2 linked regions of the Drosophila melanogaster genome follow. The protein of the gene in region 1 interacts with the protein of each later gene in a pairwise test. Each region holds a gene or a part of one and is shown on either strand. Other genes may lie near its edges.

Evidence for each region.
Region 2: the proteins of CG32235 (region 1) and CG31848 interact in a two-hybrid assay, tested with the Drosophila melanogaster proteins (one large-scale study listed by BioGRID).

The regions. Positions count from the first base shown.
Region 1 is NT_037436.4:4,850,798-4,862,227, forward strand, and holds CG32235 (uncharacterized protein), read right to left. Parts: upstream 9,674-11,430; 5' UTR 9,474-9,673; intron 9,410-9,473; 5' UTR 9,302-9,409; coding exon 9,050-9,301; 3' UTR 9,013-9,049; downstream 1-9,012. Other genes in the region: CG32237 (uncharacterized protein), read right to left, coding at 1-1,525, 1,602-1,604; Dnah3 (dynein, axonemal, heavy chain 3), read left to right, coding at 10,663-10,882, 10,940-11,143.
Region 2 is NT_033779.5:13,260,255-13,271,986, reverse strand, and holds CG31848 (uncharacterized protein), read left to right. Parts: upstream 1-6,110; 5' UTR 6,111-6,202; coding exon 6,203-6,205; intron 6,206-6,270; coding exon 6,271-6,906; 3' UTR 6,907-6,991; downstream 6,992-11,732. Other genes in the region: CG44085 (uncharacterized protein), read right to left, coding at 360-691, 4,015-4,256.

The sequences.
Region 1 (11,430 bases):
TGTACTGGTATCCATCGGCGGCGAGGACAGCGGAGTCCTGGCTAGCTTCCTCAACTGGAACCTCCTCAACTGGGGCATCAGCAACAACCTCCTCAGTGGGTGGCAGGTATTCGTTGGCGATCTCAGAAACATCACGACGCTGGCGGTACTTCAGGCGACGGACAGTCTTGTACTTGTATCCATCGGCGGCGAGGACGGCGGAGTCCTGGCTAGCTTCCTCAACTGGAACCTCCTCAACTGGGGCATCAGCAACAACCTCCTCAGTGGGTGGCAGGTATTCGTTGGCGATCTCAGAAACATCACGACGCTGGCGGTACTTCAGGCGACGGACAGTCTTGTACTGGTATCCATCGGCGGCAAGGACAGCGGAGTCCTGGCTAGCTTCCTCAACTGGAACCTCCTCAACTGGGGCATCAGCAACAACCTCCTCAGTGGGTGGCAGGTATTCGTTGGCGATCTCAGAAACATCACGACGCTGGCGGTACTTCAGGCGACGGACAGTCTTGTACTTGTATCCATCGGCGGCGAGGACGGCGGAGTCCTGGCTAGCTTCCTCAACTGGAACCTCCTCAACTGGGGCATCAGCAACAACCTCCTCAGTGGGTGGCAGGTATTCGTTGGCGATCTCAGAAACATCACGTCGCTGGCGGTACTTCAGGCGACGGACAGTCTTGTACTGGTATCCATCGGCGGCAAGGACAGCGGAGTCCTGGCTGGCTTCCTCAACAGGAGCTTCCTCAATGGGGGCTTCGGTGGCGGCATCCTCAGTGGGTGGCAGGTATTCGTTGGCGATCTCAGAAACATCACGACGCTGGCGGTACTTCAGGCGACGGACAGTCTTGTACTTGTATCCATCGGCGGCGAGGACGGCGGAGTCCTGGCTAGCTTCCTCAACTGGAACCTCCTCAACTGGGGTATCAGCAACAACCTCCTCAGTGGGTGGCAGGTATTCGTTGGCGATCTCAGAAACATCACGACGCTGGCGGTACTTCAGGCGACGGACAGTCTTGTACTTGTATCCATCGGCGGCGAGGACGGCGGAGTCCTGGCTAGCTTCCTCAACTGGAACCTCCTCAACTGGGGCATCAGCAACAACCTCCTCAGTGGGTGGCAGGTATTCGTTGGCGATATCAGAAACATCACGACGCTGGCGGTACTTCAGGCGACGGACAGTCTTGTACTGGTATCCATCGGCGGCAAGGACAGCGGAGTCCTGGCTAGCTTCCTCAACTGGAACCTCCTCAACTGGGGCATCAGCAACAACCTCCTCAGTGGGTGGCAGGTATTCGTTAGCGATTTCGGAAACATCACGACGTTGACGGAGCTTCAATCGGCGCACGGTCTTGTAGCGGTATCCATCATCTCCCAGGGCGGCGGGGTCTTGGGCCAGCTCTGCTCCAACTTCCTCCGCCGGCGGGATGTACTCGTTCACGATCTCGGAGACGTCACGACGGTGCCTGGCTTGTTCGACAGGAATCACTGCAGCCGTCGCGGCGGCAATAAAGATGCAGGCTAAGAAAAGTTTCTGCAATGTGAGTGTATATAAAGTGTTAGGTTAGATAATCCTGGAGGGAAGGTATCCTTGCTGCTGGAATATTCACCATCTTGCTATAGATCTCCAAGCTAATTGCTTTGACGATGGAATCTATGGGTCGAATGATTAATCGTCGCAATTTGTCCGCATATTTATACGCTCCAATGTTTGCCAGCTTCCATTCAAACAATGATCGACGCTCTGTTTGCCGGCAAACAGCGGCGGAAACCAAAACCGAAATCGAAACCGACTCCGAATCGGTAACAAAGCAATGAATTTGGCCAAAGACCCAACATGCGCCACTCGAGCCCTCAAGTGCCCCCGTCACCGTCTCCCAGCTTCGTCTTCACGTGGAGATTAAGCCCAGCTGGGAGCCGGTTCGCTTACAGAGCACAGTGGGTAAAATAAACCAAAGTGTTTGATAAACAACTATCCAATTAGATAAAATTTAAATATTATATATTATAGATGCTTTAGTTATCTATATAATGTAGAAATGTTATAATCCCAAACTCCCTTTTTGGAAACATTGAATCCAAAAGGATTTAGACATAACAGAAAGCAAAGAAAAATGTATTTTATACCACAACCAACATGAATAACATGTATCCCATAGTGGATAGGAGTTGCCCAAAGATTGCCCAGTGCGGAACTAAATGCTCTGCGTTTCGCTTTCGTTTGTCGTTCGCCACTTGGATCGAATTCGATGGCTATTGCTTTGGCTTAAGATACAGCTTCACGGTCAAGAGCGAGCATCGGTGCTCTTAACAAGATCTAATGCAAAATCACAATGGTTTTCCATGGTGTTCACTTTAATGGCAGCATACGCATACGTATTTATTAATTTATTTCGAACGTTATTAATAGTTTCGAACGTTAATTTCTCAAGTGGCTATCGGTAATTTGCGTACTACTCGGTTTTGGAGTTCAACGAACCGCTCAAGATTGATGGTTGGCAAAAGGTCGCACGGGCAGCACGACGTATTTGTTTAATGGGTTTCGCTGATAAGTTTTCGAATTGGTTTTAATTGGTTCCGTTTTGTGAATCATATAGGATTTAAATTTATTTTAATTGGACTGTGGGTTGTTGGAAGTTGCATTGTCAACGGTTTAAATCACATGTAAATTACGTTTTATTTTTTTAGCTTGGAGTAATATGTAGCATTTATAAATTTTTAGAGTATAGTCTTTAGCTTAATGGCTAATAGTGCAATGGTCGAATTTCATGGTCCGTAGAGCTGTTATAATAAACTGTGTATCCTGCGACCCGCATAACGTTAACTGCTCCTTGCGACCAGGATATCAAAGATTTCGCCGAAAATATGCTGCACGCGAAAAGGACGAAGACGAGAAAACAGCGGAGCAGCTTACAAGTTGGGAGCATGTTATGCGCTGCCGAAAAACTTTGGCTATGAAATTCATAAACTTGGCAAAACAAGCTTGCTGGCGGCAGGAAAGGGGCGAGCAGGAGTTACCAGGCGGAGGACTCCAAGTTGGCTGGGGAAACTTTTGCACAAATCATGCATATGATGTTGGAGGCACTTTCACTTTGGTGCTCCCGAGGGTCTAACGAATATTTCCTCCCCGTTCCGGACCGCCCGACCCCGCGGCCTTGGACTAATTAAAGAGACAAAACTGCGTAAGTTTTTCGGTTTTTCAAGAGTCATCGTCATCGTCATATAGCCATCTTGAGTTTGTGCCCCGAAATGTGTGTCAAGTGGCAGCGAGTGCAAAACAAAGCAAATGGGGTGTGCAATCTGCTGTAAACAACCATAAATTTTGCCTGCCTTGGGTTTCTGACTTCGTCTGGAGTTGCTAGGGGAACTATCGCCCTCATAAAGGGGCCAAAAAAAATGAATGAAACACTCCCGAATCCGGACAACGGCGTCCTTATCGCAATCACTCACATCGCCACTTGTGAAATCGTGGCCGACCACCGAGATGCGGATGCAAGTACAGTCAAGCTACCATAAGTTGATCTTTCCCAACTTTTAATCAAAGTATCAACTATCAACTATTTCTCTTGTTATGCTATCACATTTCAAAAGAAAGACACCCTTAAAAATTATACCTCAATTTTAAAATGTGGCAGATGGTGGTTCAAGTTAAGGGAGCTAAACTGTTTATCTTTTGGCGGCTTGGTTTCGAACCAAAAGTATGAAGTGAAGCATGAACATCCTATGACACATTATAATATGTATAAACGATGTTTTATGACAATCAATTTGTTTCAATCCAATAGACACACCCGCCGCATGTGCCAGAGTTTGTGTTGTGCTCTCATTTATGTGATTATTTGATTTGTGTGTTGGACGTTGATATTCGCACACAAAACAGATTCGCAACCAGAATCAGAATCAGAGCCTGGAGCTCTGGCATAACGAATTTTATGAACTAGAAAGTATCATTAATTTAATACGCATTCGCATACGCAAACAAGCCGATGATACGGATGGGCATTCGAGGGTTTTTGGGGTATGGGACTGGAAGCAGGAACGGGATCCGTTGGCCCTTAGTTATGCTCTTCTGATCATTGTAATGTAAATACGGCCAGAACTCCGGCCGCGTGCAATCATAAATAAACATTCGACACAAACACAATAAATGTCAAAAAGTTTCGCCATTATCCGTTCGCCAGTTAATGTCCTTGTCGCCGCTGTTGTCATCGTCGTCATCGCGTCGTTGTCGTTGTCCTTGTCGTTCTCGTCTTGAAAGCGAACGCAGCGCTTTATTATTTTAATGATTTCGCAGTGCCGGTTCCACTGTCCGTGCCTTCGTCCTGTCAGCACTCCGGCATGTCCTGGAACTCCTCCTCTCCTGTCCTGACCCCTCCTGTGCTCTCCAGTCCCGTGGCATTGTGTTTACATTTGTAATTCAATTCGCGACCGCTCCTCCAGCCCAAAATGCTCCCAGCTCATAGCTCCATCTCCATCTCGGCGTCCGCTTGTTATTATTTTACATGTCGTTCGCTGGCTCACTATAATTTATTAGCAATTTGCATAATTTTCTTTTATAAGGAATTGCCTCTGTTTTCCGCTGCTTTATGCTTTTTTGCTTTTAGTGCTGACACCGCGACATCAACTCTTTTCGGCCCAATGTTATGCTAATTGCCCCGCCGAAATACCCATGGATTCTCCACCCCACTTTACGGTTATGCACGATCGTTATCAATAGACATTTTGTTGGCCCGATTATTGCCTGAATAATATGCCCACCTCTCGAAATTTGCATTCACATCTGCTCTGAACTCTGCTCAAGGCAAGGTCTCAGATCACTGGGTTAATTGGTTAAAGACAGCTGCCGTTTATGGTTCTTATACAGGGTCAGGGTATTCTCAAAAATCGGAAAGGAAAAAGTTTACTTTTGAAGTTTGCAAAATAATCGGTAATTGGTAATGTTATAGAACGCCTAAGAAGTAAATACTACTTTTGTATAGTTGATTATATCTTTAACCAGCTAATTTCCCTTATTTGTTTAATGAAACTGGCACAGACAACACAATGCAAGCCGGGAACAAAAGTATCTATATTTTCTCTTTCTAACTGCTCCAGCAATTGCTTTTATTTTTCCCGTTGTTTTGCTCCTTTAACACAGCTAAACTTTTGCAGCATAAACAATTAAAAATTAATTTAAAAAACTTTTGGCCAAAGATAAGCAGAGGATGACGGTGAGCGAGAGGAATCGAGGAATCAGCAGTTAGCTCATTAAACCCGCCACATGGTCTTGGTCTTGTGGTTCTGTTTTTGGGCCAACTCTCTCGTTGGAAAGCGTCTGCAGCATTATGCAATCTCTGGTAGCGGGGGATGCCTTGAAGTGGACCTTAAATGGGGCCGAAAGGAGAACTAAGCGAAACTATTTAAAATACCATTTGCTATGGAATCAATTGAAAACGGATGAGTTTTGTAATTAGGCGGCTCGGAGCTCACAAACACGCCCACCAACTATATAGACTCGAGCCAAGGTTATTTCATAAACACGCTCAAGTGATTCGGCAAACTTCCTAAGGGGGAGCGAAGGATGAATGGATGAAGGGGTGGCAGGCGCAGGACTTTGACCAAGCCCAATTTGATCCACAGATCCACTGTGTTTGTCCGCCTGGCTGTCTGTTTGCCCTGGCGGCAAAGGTCTCCGGGTCCACTGTTTGACTTGAAGGTATTAGAAACTAATTTGTACAGCAGCCGCAAAAGCAGGAGTAGCAGGAACAGCACTGGCAGATCCTTGGCCAAAGCTAACCAGGATACAAACAACAATTGTTTGCCTGTCCATCCATCTATCCCGGGCTTTGCTCCTCTAGTTCAGCCATCCACTTTGGTCTCGCTGTTTTCGGGCTTTCCGAAGACAATGAGTAAAAAATCCAAAGGCAAAGGCAAGCCAAATCCCCAACAATGGCAGTGGTAGCAGTACGAGCAGCCACAACAACAACAGAATGGCTAAATCATATGGCCCGGCTAAAAAGGACCACTGACAGAAAGGGACTCGTCTCGCTTTTAAGTCGCCTGCGGCTTAAATTTTCTTAAATGTTACATTGTCTCTGGCAACGACAGAGAAGCAACTCCATACCGAAAATGCCAGTCTTTTTACGGTTTAACTAAACAATCTGCTCACAAGTAAATATTTTCGGGCATATGCAAAACTTTACCATGAACCGACACCGAAACTGAGTCCTTTGGCTAAGTACATTTATCTTTAAGACTAAAAACCATAACAATTTAGTGTCGGAAATTTTGAGCTACGCATTGCAGAATTTATTCGCAGACGACACACATAGTTGGGCTTCATGGTTTATCCGGCAGAAATTCGCACAAATATTTACCCGGGTCGAAAATTTTATCGGAGAGCGCAGAAAATGCTTAGCTAAGCGAATTGTTATTCCGCTACCCTTAAAGTTGCTCGTCCGATAATTTAATTTCAAAACAAAATTTTGGCTTCCTTCCACATCAAAAAAAAAAAAAAAAAAAAAGGAACACACAGCAACATGTACATGCAAATTTTTAACCCAATTTCAAGGTTTTAGCCTAATGAATTTGACATGCTACCAAAAATGGGATTTGGACTTTATTTGAATATGTCAGACCAAAATAGTCTGATATTGCTTTCCTTACTGTGTTACAACTTCGATATTTTAACTTTTACTATCAATATTTATTGTATTATGATTTATAAGGTCAGCTGCGCTGCAAAGGCTATCAGGTATCCATATCTTTCTATCTTTGACACCGATGCGGTTTCCACTTCAATTCACTTTTTTTTTCCTCCCGCAGACGCCACTCGATCGAAATTGATGCGACATTTCGAGGATAAATCAGGAATGACTTGGCTGTATTTGTAGTGAATTTGCATTGATGATTGTTGACATTTAAAACAAATATGAATATACAGTCGGCAGATTTCAGTAGCCAATCAATTTTTTTAGCAATGCGAAATAAGAGATGCAAAAATAAGTTGCAAATTGTTATGATTAATGCGAGTGTGAGCTGGGCCGACTTTTCATTATGAGCATTAAATTTTTGCACATTTTATAATTTAATTGAATTTCGCTATATTTTTTATCGCACTTTTGCAAAGCTAATTTATGATTGCTCAATGCGGCATGTAATTGCATACAAAAGCCTTTAATGACGTCCCGTTCGCAGTATCTCTCTATCTGTATCTGCATCCGTATAAAGCGATTGTATTTCAGTCAGTTTTTTCCTTCTACCCACTTTGACATTCCATAATTATATTCATTATTAATGATAACATAAAGCAAGAGAAGAAATATTAGCAATAAAAATTGATTAAAGTTTAAGCGAACACCGATAATTAACCAACCATAAATATAGCCGTGATTTAAGCTGGCTTGCAATTCCATCTCACATGCCGCAAATCGATTGACTTCCGAGCTTGATCATCCCACCGGTGCGTGTCCTTCTTCATCTTGGAACCAATTAGCGACCGGGAATTAAGTGCTCATCAGACGTCTGTCCGGTCTTTGGTCTCCAGACCACCTTTAGCTTTGCCATCGCCAACGACATCGCCACATCGGATTTCCAACCCAAAACTCATACCCAGTCCCATTCCCGTTCCCATTTGCAGTCACGCATAATAGAGTTCACACAAATTAGTCAAACGCAGGGCAAACTTGGTCGTAAACAGAGCTGCAAATGCGTCGCAACATGTACGGTTCCGCCGGTGAAAGGACGATCCCAGACATCACCGGATCCTTGGCACTTGGCACCAGGAGGCGGAGGAGCAGCAGCAGCAGGAGCTGCCAAAGGACCAACGGACCACTGGCAATTGTAACTCCCAGTTTGGTCGCACGATTAATCGTCGTTGCAAATTGTTGGCACGTTTTCAATTGACAACAGAGTACGTTGCCTGCACGGCAGCGTCAACCCCTAATTTGCACTATGACCCCCGACCAACCCCACCCTTTCACCCAACTCCATCCATTTTCACTCATTTCCACCCCACCCCCACCGTAGGTTGCGTGTAAATCACACGGTGTTTGCTCTTGCTCCTGTTGCATCTTTTACGTGCGTCAGGATGAATTTTGCTGCCAGATATCCTTATCCTTCGCCACCCACCTCACGCCCTTGGACCCCCTGCCGCTGCCTTTCTGCGCCCCCAACCCTCACGTGTGACGGCCGTTTTAAAACGCCGACCACGACGCCTCTGTCGTTTATTTTGAATGTAATTTTTCAAGTCGCGACGTCTTCTACTGCTGCCCATTAATCACGTGGACAAAATGCGATTCGCCATGGCAGCAAACGGAAAAAAAAACACGGAATCGAGGCAAATAAACAATGGAGAATGGAGCGGGGAAAGAAAAGTGAGACTGGGCAGAAAAAAAAGGAAAACTTTGCCTTGACAAGGCAGTTCTTTAATTATACTCTATCTACTTGGGTTATATGGGGTTTTAAAGAAGTTTTACCTTAAAATTTGAATTTATTAAGAGTTAAAGTTCTTAAAGATAAAGTTGCAATGCAATATTATCATGTTCACCACTTACCACCAGCAGCAGTGATATATGCCATCTCTTACCATGATTTATTCCCTCTTCTGAGTATGAGTATGTGAATGAGCAAAGAATATCCAATTTCATACATCCTCAAACCCGAGATGCGAAGAACGACGTCCCCTGGAAGTTAAGCTTCTTAGGGTATGATTGGATTCGACTTATTTCCGTTCCGGTGGAAAAGTGTTGCATACTCGCAGGCTGGAAACGATGCTGCTCCTCCGGACTTCTGTTGCTCTGCTGCTCGTTGACTTTGTTAATAATGATGTTGTCCCTCCCCATTGTGTATTTTCAGCAATGAGGTCACGTGACTGACAGCCGTCGAATTACGGCCCTTTGTTTGGCAAAGCCCATAGACCGAACCACCAATCAGCCAAAAAAGTCAACCCACCCAGAAGAAGGCCAATGACAAACTAAATGCAATTTGATGCGTGTCATGCCCCCCTCAGGATAATGTGTTCGAAAATGCGTGGTAATCATTATTTGTGACAATTGACGAAGTCGGAATCAATTTTTTATTAGCTCTCTAATGCCAAGATCAATCCTCTAAGCCGATGCCCGGCAGTTGTGGCAGTTAATAAATATTTGTCACGCATGGCTCTGGATGCACTGCAGCTGGAAAGCCCACACCCAGGTACCTCGATCCCCGAAGGACCTGTCGGTGGCACCTGCATTGCGTTGTCCGGTGCGCTTAGGCACGTGACAGGCGGATGACCTGCATACGGGAACCTGAATCCTGCTTTTCCCGGCCTGCGTTGATGGTTTCGCATGCCTGGCTATTCCCACGACTTGTCACCTTAAAACACACACGATTTCCTTTAACTTTCGCATGTGTGGCAACCGCATTTACTGCGCTCTCAAAGCCAAAATGCGTTGTCCTGGAAGGAAGACAAAGGTGAGGTAACCGCAATTGACCATTAATCAAATTTCCAATTAATTTACCACAATTAATTGCTGCTCTATTCGCAATTCAGTCGCTCAAAACACCAATGCCACTTGAAGCGTCTTTGTTAAAGTAAATTCCTTTGGCAGCCGAAATGCAATAGGATCTCCTTGTGAAATCGGCTCATGATTATGCTGCCTCGTAGCATTATGTATGCGATTCTCCCCTTCAGCTGCAACCCTATTAGGGAGCTCCGAACACGCCGAGCCCCGGTCGAGCATTATTATTTTCCATCATTGTCAACATATCATCAGGTTCAATGACGAGTCGATGCTTCCGTTGTTCCCGGCGCTCCTGCTAGTCCTGCTCGTCCTGCTGCTCCTTTGCCAGACAGTTGGGATAATAAATATACAGAATGCCAGCGGTAGCTTCACCAGGACCAGCTTTTCTGCAGTTGCAGCGCTTTATTGAAAAATGTGTGCACAATTCGAGAAAAGCTGCCAGGTAACGCGGCCTGCTTCGTGCGCTCTGGACTACACTGAGAAAAAATCAGACAGATAAAGTATTATGTAAATACCTCATATTTTTGTTATTATTAAATGGATATATTCGAAACAAGGTAATATTTAAATTATTGTGATCCAAATTCCTGTCTTTGCATATTGTCCGAAAATGCACTTGCTTTCCAATATTCTCCCTGCAACTGTGACTGCAGTTGATGCCCTGGGAAGCCATCCCTTCGCCAGACACAAATATCAAATATTATCGAGCTGAGCGGAGGACGTTGAAAGGCGAGCATTGACGGAGTGTCGGGGTGTCTCCAGCTCCGGTAGCAGCTTTTGCAGCCGGTCCTGGTTGCCGGGGTTACACGTACGCCCCCGATTCCCGGGCTCCTGGCCCGCGGGTCCTCCGTTGCCATGGCCATCCATGCCCAATGCCTGGGCCTCGACTTTGTTTGTAAACATTTCACGTTCATCGCTGGCCCGCAAATATTTCGCTTCCACTGCTGCTGTGCAAACTTTTGCCATCCGAGCTACGGGTTTTGTTTTCCATTTTTCTAGAACGGAGAAAAGTATGCCCCGCACAGAGTGAAACAAATGAAAGCAGACTAGAAATCGTGTTTCGTTGTGTTGGCTTTGAATACGATTCGTTAACAAACCAGCATCAGCGGAAGGATCACGCGCACACCGTCCCTGAGGTTCTCCCCCTGACCAAACCAAATCATCCAAATCAATCCATGCCCTCGCCATGCAGAAGAAGGTAGCGCCAGAGCGCCGTCCATACTGTGATCCTCGGCTGCAGGATGACAAGCTGAGGAGGAAACGAACTCTCCATCTGCCCAGAGTGTCGCAGGCTCAGAAGAAGGGCGAAAAGCGCCAGCTGAACGACTGCCCCTTCTACAACCTGACTTATGGCTTTGACCAACTGCCACTGGATCCTGTCAAGGAGTTCCTGCAGGAGAAGATATGTAAGGCTCCTCTATGCCACTTTAACTTCCCACAACTAAATACCAATTTATACTTAGCTCACATGCAGACAGACAAAATAGTGGGACATTGCAATCGGGAGTTTGATTTCCACCGATACGATTTGGATAACGTGAAGGATGAGTATGATGAGTGCGATGATGACAGCTTGCAGGAGCTGCAACTGGAGGATATTATCATGCCCGAGCAGTTCGAGATGCTGCGCGATGCCAAGGATCATTTATACAACTTTGATTCCACTGGTAAGTAGGAACATTTCCGGGGGAAAGCCACAATTAAGTGGAACAACATTTGCGCATTAAACCAGGTGTGCTGGGAATGGGTAAATGCCCCAAACAAATTGCCACACATTTCGTGTTATTCAATGAGTGAGAACTTTACCGCAAAAACATAACACTTAATACTTTATTAAATGCGAAAACATGCCCCGACTGAAGGTGCTGCTTTCGCCCAACTCCCAATTCCTTCTTGGCCGCTGCTCTACCCCCTTCTGTTGCCAGCTTTCCCATTTTCCGACTCCCACAGCGCA
Region 2 (11,732 bases), on another chromosome or scaffold:
GGGGCTCTGCTCACCATCAACGGCATCGGATGTGGTGCTGCTATATCCTCCATTCGCAGCAGGTGCCACCTCGGGCAGCGGACTCTTGGAGCGATCCTTAATGTACTCGTCCTTCCAGAACGTGTTCTTCTCCACGGGCGGTGCCACCTTGCGCAGTGCAGCCATGGGATTTGGCGGTATCTTGATCTCCGGCCGGAATCCCAGTGGTGGTGGCTCAAAACGCTGTGGAGTTGGCGATTTGCGCGCCGTAGCCGGGGAACCAGGGGCACTTAGGCGCCCAGTGGGTGGCGCTAATGTGCTGGGTTGTTGTGGGGGTGGTGGTGGGGGTGCGGCGCTAGCACCTTGGGTGCCATTCTTACCCGACTGTGGTTGCGGCGGCGGTGGTGGCGGCGGCAGCACCTGGAACGGCATGCCCATGGCAGCGGCTCCAATCGAACTGGCTGCACCACCTGGCCCACCTGGCGACTGTGGCTGGGCGGGTCTGTTCTGTTGGGCGGCTCCGGTTGCTCCTTCCGATTGGGCATTGCGCGCCAACCGCTTGGCCATCCGCTCCGACCGGATCTGGGAGAGATCAATGCCGCCGGGCGTGTAGGTGAAGGGCTTCTTGTCTTTTGTCATCATCGCGTTCTGCACGCACGCGGGCGCCTCGTAGCCACCGTTTCCGGATCCGCCTCCTCCGCGCTGTCCATACCTGCAGGAAAACAAAGTTCAAATCTCTGTAAACCACTTAATAATTCAACCAAAGAAGAATAATATTTTGTTTAACCAGTACTTAGACAATATATATATCATTAAATCATTTAATTTAAATATTTCCGAATTTCATTCAAGATTATCGTTGTTTCTGTATAAGATGAGCTACTGAAAATCCTAAAAATCTGTTCAATATGTGTAAGTATAATCTTATTAATTATTAAACAGGAAAAGTAAAGATGAAATAAAGATAAAGATAAAGATATCATGATAACGATAAGTTCGTTGGATTATGATAATTATTATTAATACAATGCAAAGGCTTTCAAACAGGTATATGCATTAACAATACTTTAATCTTTTAGTTAACGTTGGTATTATTTTTTTCGCAACCCAGCTGTCATGTTAATCTGACTTCCTCTCCAATTTGCATGGGCTATTTATCATAATTTTTGTTAAATCTTTTCTAATTTATTATTTCGCTCTTGGTCGCCGGCAAAAGCACCCATTTGTATTGTTTTCCTTTCTTCGCAGCTGCTGCGACTCATTAGTCGATCATCGATAGTTCAACGAGCCAATGTTTTGATTTTTTTAACGATCAAAAGGGGGAAAGTGAGTTCAAGTTGTTACGGACGACCGACCATAAAAGGTGAGACGTCCGATGAAGTGCCAAATTTGAAAGGTTGAAAGTGAGAAGTTATTGTGGTATCATGACTATAAGAAGGTCTATTGAAGAAATTGGCTGCATTAGTTTCATTGTAATAAATTTGTAAGACATAACATGAGTAATGGGGAATTAAAGACTTAATAGTTAATCTATCTAGCTGATCTAAGATTTCTGGCTTCCCTCAGAGTATCTACGTAAAATAATGTTTGTAAAGATTAGTTGATTTAATGCCTATTTAGGCTTGTGAAAATTTCCCATTTGCACTTTCTCAGTCCCGTTGAATATGTCTTCATGTACGAGCATCCCACTTCCCAGTCAACGTCGAATTTTCTCCGCATAATTTGCTTATTTTAAATGCGTTAAACGTTAACAATTCGCTAATTAAAAGCGAAAATCGAAGAGGTTCGGCGACAATATACGTTCTCGTTAACGTTGGCTCCACCAGAAAGCCCGTTTATGCCGAAAGAAAGTGATGGAGTTCGGGATCGGGTTCTGAAAAGTTGTCAGGCCCGTTTGACATGAGCTTGGTGTGCGTGGATGATACGCATCCAAGTGGGTCAGGCGAACAGGAACAGGTGATCAGGTCTGCCTGGCAGTTGTTCCATAAAGTTGACACGGCCAAAACTCTGCGGTCTCGCCAAATAATTAAGAAAATAAAACTAAGTAAACAAGGCACCCTACTCTGGAAACCGCAAATGCGAAGGCCAAGTTGTGTGGGAAAACGGTTGCGAAACTCACCCACAACTGGCTTACATGCAAATTGGAGCGCGTGCATCAAAGTCAAATGCAAATGACGTAACTCCCTGCGGTTAGTGACAGAAAATCGTATTTAAATCGAATCGAGTCGCAACAAAACAAATCTTTAATTATTCCCATATTTGGGATGGTCGAAGAAATGCTGTCAGCTCCTTATAGACATGGCATGGTGGATATAATAAACTATGGATACATATGCCCAGTCAGGTTGGGCATCAACTTTTTGTTGAACTTGCCATTGATTATGTGCGAATTAATAGCATCAACAGCTTCCATAATTGTCGAGGCGTGCCCAAAATTGTGAGGTCGTTCAGTTCAGATCGGTCTATTCCCCGTTTATTGACTCGATCGGTCGATCGATGCTTTATGGCCGGATAGGAAATGCAACTTACACAACCGTTTTGTTAACTGTTTTTTCTGTATGAAACATTCGACCGCTGCCATATTGGGCTGGGCTATAAAAGTTATTAAACACCGTGACAAGCCTGGAAAAATGTCAGCTTAATGCACTAAACATTTCCTGAACCAACGAAAGCAATGTAAATACCCATTCATTGTTCTCAATTCCAATGATCGTCACGCACAGTGAACTAAAAAATGCGTTGCCAAAATTTTCGAAAAACAAAAGAATCGTTAAAAACTAAAAGATACACGCGCTGAAATCACAGATGTCCCCTGATGACGTCAATTGGCGGGGACATGGCGTCAGTACTTGGTACTTGGGGCTGCGGATAAGAAGCAATTGACCACAAGACAAGACCACCAACTGTTTGCTAGCCACTGACAGATTTGGCAATTAAAATGTCAGAGCACCAGGAAAAAGTTTCAAGGAACCGGGAAGAAATAACCAATAAACTGGCATACAAAGTTCGCCTATAATCATAATGCAACATGACTAATTTACTGGCACAAGCATGCACATATTCTTTGTGAATCATATGCATATGCGTTGCACATGCACTTAGCCTTAAGTAAACATACATTTCTAAAAATAAATGTAAATCCATTTTACCGACTAATGACTGGGCTTTATGATTTGCCAAAAATACATGTAAAATAGTCGCAGCTGTTCATGCGTGAGTTAAAAACATGCAATAATAACACAAGCAATCACAATTTCAAATTTAAATGATAGAAAAACATCTGTGCAATTCGCATTTTCACTTTTCTAATTTGTTGTTGTGTGCTTGACTTTTATTTTGCCTTTTCGCATGCAAATGAGCGTGCAGAAATGTATCTAAAGGCATTTGCAACTAACTGGCAACCGGGTGGATCCACAAGATACGGGTGATGTCTTCTGGAAAGCACTGGAAACCGGATTGATGAACTAGTTGGTATCCCTTATATAGCCATATTTTGTTTATGAGATGTTTATACGAGAGCTTATTGTGTTATTTGGATTAATATTATTATGTATATATTGTGCATTATGTGATCATACATTTAATATAACGTTTAATTTATTCAATTTATTTATTGAATTTATATTTTTGATTCTTTTTAGTCCAGTTCCATCATATCCCCTACTACCCTCTAGTAAAAGCAAACTAGTTGCCTAGAAGAATCTGCAGTTGCAGCTGGCCGCGCATATTTCAAGATCAAGGGCAGCCAGCAGAAGTAGAAGAAGAAGTAAGAACTTGAAAGCTGCCACATGCAACATGACATAATGATAGTCATTGTCCGCCCGTCTTGGCTATAAATAGCTTGGCTCTGAAGTCGGAGATCGGAAGATCGTTCGTACAGGGTGCTCCCTCCAGCCGCCCACATTCCGCAGTTGAGCTAATCTAGCGATAAATATTTACTTGGAAATTGCTCTTGCTCTGGCATTTTAGCTTTAGAAAATTTAGCTATATATTTATATAAATACAAATATATAGATATACTCGTAGCGGACTTACGACAATTCCAGGCCGTTGCGATTGGCATCCCCGTTCACGGGCAGCTCCGACAACTGAAATCCGCGATCCTGACGAACCATATATGCGGGCAGAGTGTCGATGATGGCATTGGCCTTATCATTATAAGAACCAAGTAGTTCCCGATATTTGGAGTACACTACGCGCTTCAGCTGCGGATTCTTGGATGACACGGAGGCGTTTGATGGCGACGGCGACGGAGATTGCAGCGTTGAGGTGGCCATTGCTCGCGGACTCTTGTTTACTTGTTTTAATACTTTTATACTAATTTATTTTTGTTGTACACTATTTTATCTGAATTTTGCTTTTACACTTGCATAGCACGAAAGTGGGTCGACTATCTTTAAAGCGGACCTCTATCTGCGAATGGGTACAAGCAAGTGGGTTTAAAGAAAGCCCAAAGCAAATTTTTTCCACATCATATATAAAACTATTAGGGCTACGCCGTAGTTCCTTCTGCTTTCTTTGCTGTCCAGATCTGTTTTGAATCGCTTTAGAAGTTAAACAATTGAAATGAAAATATTTGCAACCCATTTGCCAGGTTGCAAGTGCGCTTATCAGTAAATGTGCGCAGAACAAAGAGTTACAATTCAAGCAGCCAAGTACAATGGGTTGTACAATCGATTTACATTTGGCCGATCAGGGGACATGCAAACAAAGGTGCTGTATTGGAGCCTAGGTGGTCGAATGACTCAACCATCGATTGTGGGAATTGAATTTAACCTTTTTTGACAAGGGGCAGCCGACAAATGGTCTGCTGACTCACATCGGCGGAGAAGAATCACTGAAATTTTTGGGGGAACCTATAACAGAATCACTACTATGTGGACCAGCCGTTTTCCGTCTCGCAGAGATACGCTTACGCAGTTGAATTATTTTTAGGCATGAGCTAAAGTTGCTCCGAATTAAGATGGCATTTGCCCGGCCTTTCTGTTAGTATCCGACTTTAATCACTCACTCACTCACTAATTATTAAATTGAAAACACACGCGCTGCGCACAAAAAGTATCTCGTAGGTTCGTTTTTTTTATCTGTATCTGAGGAGCGCACTGGGCGACTGATCGCAGCGGACTCTCGAGACGCATTGAAGTCGGGTTCGGTTCGCCGGAGGTTGGACGGCACATCTGAGTTGGCTTGTTCGGCAACTTGTTGCAGATACATTTCCAGTCGCTTTGATGGTATTGGTGGTGCCGCAAAAGGAAAATCGATCGCTTGACAAACGGCCGACTGGCACGCGGACTGTATAGCAATTTATTTGTCTGTCAATGCAGTTCGATGATGGCGACAAATTTCCAGCTAAACGCCAAAAAGACTTTGCGACGCTTTCGTTTATCTGTATCTGGTATCTTTCGGCTGTATCTGCATCTCTTATCGTGCTACTAATTGTTTTCACTCTACTGTCATGTCGTCTGCTTATTACTTCTGTCGCTTTTCACGATTAAGCCAAATCGAAAGAACGGGTATCTCCCACTTCGGCATTATCTTTAGTTCGGGGGATTTCTTTATCGAATCTGCGCACTCGGCTTGCTCTAATTAACTCATTTGAACAATCATCTGCGGAAATGTGGCCCACTAGCCTTGACAGACAAATAAGATGTTATCTTTTCTGCTGTTTTTTTCTTTCAGTCTTATTTTCATTTTTTGCGACTGCTTTGTGCACAGTTAAATAATAATTGGCAAGAAAGCGTTAAGGAATTTAAAACGCGGAATGACTGGGCTAAAATCATTTTCTTTTGTCGCTCGACATCCACAATTTGTACGAAGTAAAAAACTTAAAATGCCACAAAGAAGGGGAAAGTCAAGAGACAACATCGGCAAACGATTATTGTGGATAGTTCTGGTCATCTACTTTCATTTGATCCCATTATATAGTTTTAACCATGAGCAAGAAAAGTATTTTTGTGTAGCTTTAATAATTTAACTGAACCATATCGACATTTTGGAATATCGAGCAGTTGACTGTAAATAAGTATATAATGAATGTATTTTTAGTATTGGATAATATAATCAACTCCATAAATTCCCTTAAAAGCTAAAGTCACTTTTTAGGAAATATGATTAGCCAAGCGTTTCCTTTCAAGTCACTGACATTTCATAGACATTACCAGATTTCTCAGTTTAATTTCTTAACGAATACTTGGAGAAATACCATTTATCCAGTTCAGAAACTATGGTAAGTTAAAACAAATGCAAGAAAAGCCGCGTGAACTGACCGTTCCATAAAATCTCAACCCCAAGTACCAACGATTCGCCAATTTGAATCTGGAGGCCCTCTATGGAATTCCGGCTATGTGTCCAGTGACCAATTGCCAGGCGCAGATGTCGCCACTCGAGATGCTGGCCCATCTGATGATGCGGCACAGTCCGCAGGACTCGATGATCGAGATTGCTGAGGACGTGCCCAAGCAGTACGAAGTGGATATTGATAAATTGACACCGGGTCGAAATCATTCGATTGGAGTCATCGCCTATGAGGGAGCCCCAAAGCCGGGTCTTAGTTGTGCTGTTACTTCGGATCTGCAGATTGTCCACCATCTGCCCATTATCCTGATGCTCTATGTGAGCCCTCCTATTCTGAACACCGAGCAGGCCTACATCTTATACCTGGTGAGTGCTGTGCCCTCCAGTCTGGTGAGTGCCAATGTAACACTCCTCGACGGATTCCATGCCCACGAGAAGCGCGGATGGCGTTGCCTGCGCAATTCCCTGGACAGTCCATTGATGGATAGTCAGAATCGGCTGTATTGCAACACGGACTACCTCCTGTACACGGCCACCGACATTCGGGAGCTGTGCCTCTCCGGAGAGCAGCGTAGGATCTTCGTCAAGATCGTGCTACACGGCGAGCCCGATCCCTTCCAAGTGGACGCCTAGCAAAAGGTGTCCGGACGAGTGACTCATTTGGTTCAATAAACACTTAAGTGCTGCGCCGCCAATTGACGCACACTTGAAATTCGAGTGGCTGTCAATAATATTCGTTCCTCAAAGAACTGTCAGTGAAATTGGTTTCCCTATTCATTCAATATTTCTGCTTTGGCTGGCCAGAAACTGGGTCAGACAGAGATATTTGGTTTTGTGCAGACATCAATCATGGGGGCCATCTAATTAGTTAGCCACAGGCCTCTGATTGCGGAAAATACTAGAGTCATTTCTTCTGACCGTGAAGAATGGGATTTTTAATTATGTGTTAAATGTTGCTGTGCTCTTTTTGAAAAAAACAATTTCGTTTGATTTTCTCTTTTCACTTTCGTTTCATTTTGTGACCCACTTAGTTGCAGTAGGTTCTTAAATGCAATAGCTTTTTAAAACGATTTTATAAACAATATAGCTAAACATTAAAATAAATGTATTTTTTAGCAAAGTATAAAACATAAGCAAATGCTTAGATCAACGCCTTTAGGTCTAGCGGTTAATCTCATAAATTATCCGAAACTATATAGAAATTAAAGAAACGCAAGAAACATAAACACCTACAAACACACAGATGCGATGCTATTTATAAGAAACTTAATTTTGCAAACATAAAACGAAAGAAAATTTATACCCCATTAAATACGAAACGATCTCTCACGGAAAAGTAAAAGGAAAAACAAAGATGGATAATCCAATAAAAATTAGCGTTTCACCAACAACACCCACAGCCCAGAAGACACAAGCGTGTATAAAACTATAATATTTCTGGCTTTTTTTTTGTTGTATCTGACCTTGAAAAATTATCTGAACGGCGGCGAAAAAAGTTTTACGTACGAAAAAAAAAAACAAAAATCAAAGAAAAACAAACGCAATCAGGGAAGCCATTCATCACTTTCTACGGCCACTTGAGTGTGCAACTCGTTTTGCATTTGTCATTTAGCTGCGTTGATTGCATGACATGAGCACATCAGACAGGGAGCCGTTGGGTTTGCGATTGGGATTGGGATTGGGATTGGGAGTGGGTCTGGCTCTTGTCGGTACTCGCAATTATTTATATTAATCTGGCCTGGGTCAACGTCAGCGAACCCAGGTGAAAGCGAAAACGCAGACTCTGCCCCAAAAGCCCGTTGCACAATCGATGGCGGTAATATTTCTCATTCAGTTGCCTTGCGGAATATATGCGCATACAAACGCGAATTTCTGTGTATTTTTCCTACCATGACCACATGTCGTCATTCACCGTCGGTCGTTTTTGGTCAGATAGGCAACCAAATCCCGCCAGCGCCTTTTTTTTCGATTTTTAACTTTTTTCCTGCAGCTCGAATTTGGTGCTGGTTGAAAAATTGCCATGTTATTGATTTGTAAAAAATGAAAAAAAAAAATTAAATATAGCCGCGCCATGAAAATTCGATATTTGTTTGTGGAGAAAGTGTGAAGGAATAAATCACGCACAGCAAAGCCATTTTCCGGGAAAACAAATAAATAGTAAAAATCATGGAAAAATCTGAGCAATAGTTCTTATAAAATTCCCCAAAACAAAATGTAAATTTAAACGTAAGCATAATTCAATAAATAATTAAATTGCAGAAATTGTTCTTTACGTTTGACTGCGAATTAATTGTGAACTTTCCCTTAATTAATTTTAATTCAGAGTGTATTGCTGAAGAGAAGTCATAAAGGCAAAGTGAATCATTGAATCAACTATCATGGGAACGATCTAGGTACATTCACATCGCTGTCCAATAATCAATTCCCAATGCTGTTGAACTGTCATCTGGGTGTGGCTTTATATCTTGTGCCTTATCCACTTGGGAATCTTCCTTTGAGTTTAGTACCCTATTTCGCATACAAATTTCACGGTCAACTGCGACCAACTTGAACTTGGGACAAGAAATCTGTTTACGTATTTTACAAATGCAAAAATTTATAAAATAAATAAACTCACACCTGATTTACGCAATCAACAAAAGTGAAAAATAAACCGACAAAGAAGTGTGAAAATAATTGTCGTTGACAAAAATCAAAGTCATGTTCGGCAATGCATCACAGTCTCGGGCATTAAAATGCGAATAATAATTTAAGCTAAAATAAACATTAACACTTTAAAACCATGTACATGGTCAATATTTGTCCCAAGTTCACACGTAAATTTTGTAAGTACCTATAGTCAAGATATTACAAGATATATATTTCATTTATATGTTAAACGTGGCGTATACTTGATGCTTTGCCGAAAGTTTGACGATGGAATTTGTCTAAACTTCAGAAAGTAGAATATAAACAATGAAAATTATGAAAATCTGAAATTTAATATCGAATAGAGGTCCTAGTGCTTCTTATTTTTTTCTTCTAATGCTTGACCCAATTTTGTCAATATATTATCGCAGATTTCCGTGGGAGCTGAAAATTTATGCGCCACACATCAACGTCAACGGCGAAATGCAAAAAAAATGTGCTGTCTGAGGAACGGGAAAAAAATAAATAAAACAAATGCATTTTATGCCAAATTCCTGGCTTTTTTGCTGTGAAAGGCTCTTGAGAATGTGTTTTATGATGTGCGTGGCTTCGAAGGAAACTTCCGGTGAATGCCGTCAGCCGTCTAAATACCCAACACGTGTGCCAATTGCTTCTAGACAAAGCCAAAAGACAGCTGCTGGCCGTGTCTAAGACACAAAACTGTGCACCAGCGAGATGTTGTTGAAAAATGGGAAATTTAATTAATTAATTCGCTTAGGAAAGCAGGGGAAAACACCGAAAGTGTCGCCTGCCAAAAAGCGCGTGCAACATGGGACTAGCCAAAAAAAAAAAAATAATAAAGAGATTCTAGTGTGGGCGTGGGCCATCGATGGCCTTCAAAAAACTCATGTGTGAGCCTTAATTGTAGCGGAGATCATAAAGATGTTCAGACTATAGATATATACGTATAGGCCCATACAGCTGTGGTCAGAATAATAGTGGTGAGCAAAAGACGCATAAAGTGCCTAAAAAGACTTCTCATAAAGCCAACTTTTAAAAGAACACAAGCCAATAAAAGCGTTTTAAAATATTTTTCATAATTCTACATAATCTTTCCCTTGTTTTGCCGTTCTATTGAAATAGTCAGCAGTAGAAAAATTATGAAACTTTCGATTGAACTATTTTTTTTTCGCAGTATTACGAAGTCAGCGGCCATATATTAAATTCTGTTTTAAGTACATCTGTTTTATGTTTTGTTCTTTTTTTTTGACTTTCCCCGGTAGAAATCGGGTGTAGTTTAAAATAGCTTATGACTATTAGACAGTTTCTTTTTGCTTAAAAGATTACTGTTGCACTAAAGTAACTTTAATTTGCACCACGTTTTTGTTCTTACCCAGAACTCATTTTAGCCGCTTTTTATGTATTTCAAGTTCAACTTCAGAACACTTTTACACACCGCCTACACACAGCCGCCAGTCGGAAGAAATCGCGATATTTAGATTTGGTCGTAGGCGTTGGTTTTCACCAAAACGCACGCAAGTTCTACGAAAAGATTTTGCAAACGACGCCTATGCACACAAAAACACTGAAAAATTTATGGAAAATTATTATTAAATTATGAATATTAAGCCGAAAATTATTTTGCATCAAAAATCACGCGTTCTTATATAATTTGCGGCACGGACACAAGCGATCCACTCGGAAATAGTTTTTCCCACAATTATATACATATACATATACTATATTGTGTTCAATATCGTGTTGATTTTCATATATACAGATAAGTTAGTTTCGCTAAGAACTTAGGGTTTTGCACTGTTTTTAAAACTATGAAACCCTTTTCACCAACGTTCGTTTCGATATTTTGTAATTTGCTATTTATAAAACGCGGCACGACGCATTGCTCACTTTTGCTAGAGAAAATACTCGTATCTATATCTATATATATTCGTATATATAGACAGCCCAGCTAGATGGTATAGATATATCTATGTGTTAGTTTCTAGTTGAAAATTTCTTTATTTCGGATGGTTTTCTCGTTTGCAACGCGTTCAAGTTAGCAGCCCAAGTCGCACTGAATTCGCACACGAAATTTTCTCGGCCGAAAAGCCGAAAAGCACATTTCACATTTCGAAATAAATGCTCCTTCGTCTTCAGTACATATTCTATTCGACCATCGGTCATGTCCGTGTCCATATCAGTGCGATTGTAGTGGTCACAATGCGATTGTGTGCGTACACATGTGAGCATGTGTAAAGTGCGTCTGCTCGGAAAATTCTGTGAATTTTGAGTTTATTTAAATGAAAGAAATCTAAAAGTTGAGAAAGCCCGCGGACGTTCGTACTTATTGTTTTCCTCTTTTCCGATCCACACAATAATTCTAATAATGTATTTACACCCAGGGCCGATCATCGGCGAGTTAATGCGCAATGCACTTAAATAAATTATTGATACTCCCACATCTCACACTTGGCTGATTCTCAGATTTTGATCGGCAGTGCACTTTTATTGATCGAATTGGGACACATTTCTCAATGTTCATAGTTTTGTAATGTTTTGGCAAGATATTGAGTGAAATTTAAATTTTATAGTTTTTTTTTATTTATTGAGTGGTAAAGCAGAAAATAAGAAACTGCATTCCACCATTAAAGAGTTGGCTCCAAAGAAACAAACAAAAGTGCTCCGACACAATGTGAATGATTCCATTTGGTCGTTTTGGTCGCGCCTTCTGGCCAAATCTTATGATAAATCATTATAAATCACATATGCTTGGAAAATAAATAACACAAAACGGCCGCTAAAAAAACAGTCAGTGTGTATATGTAAATTTA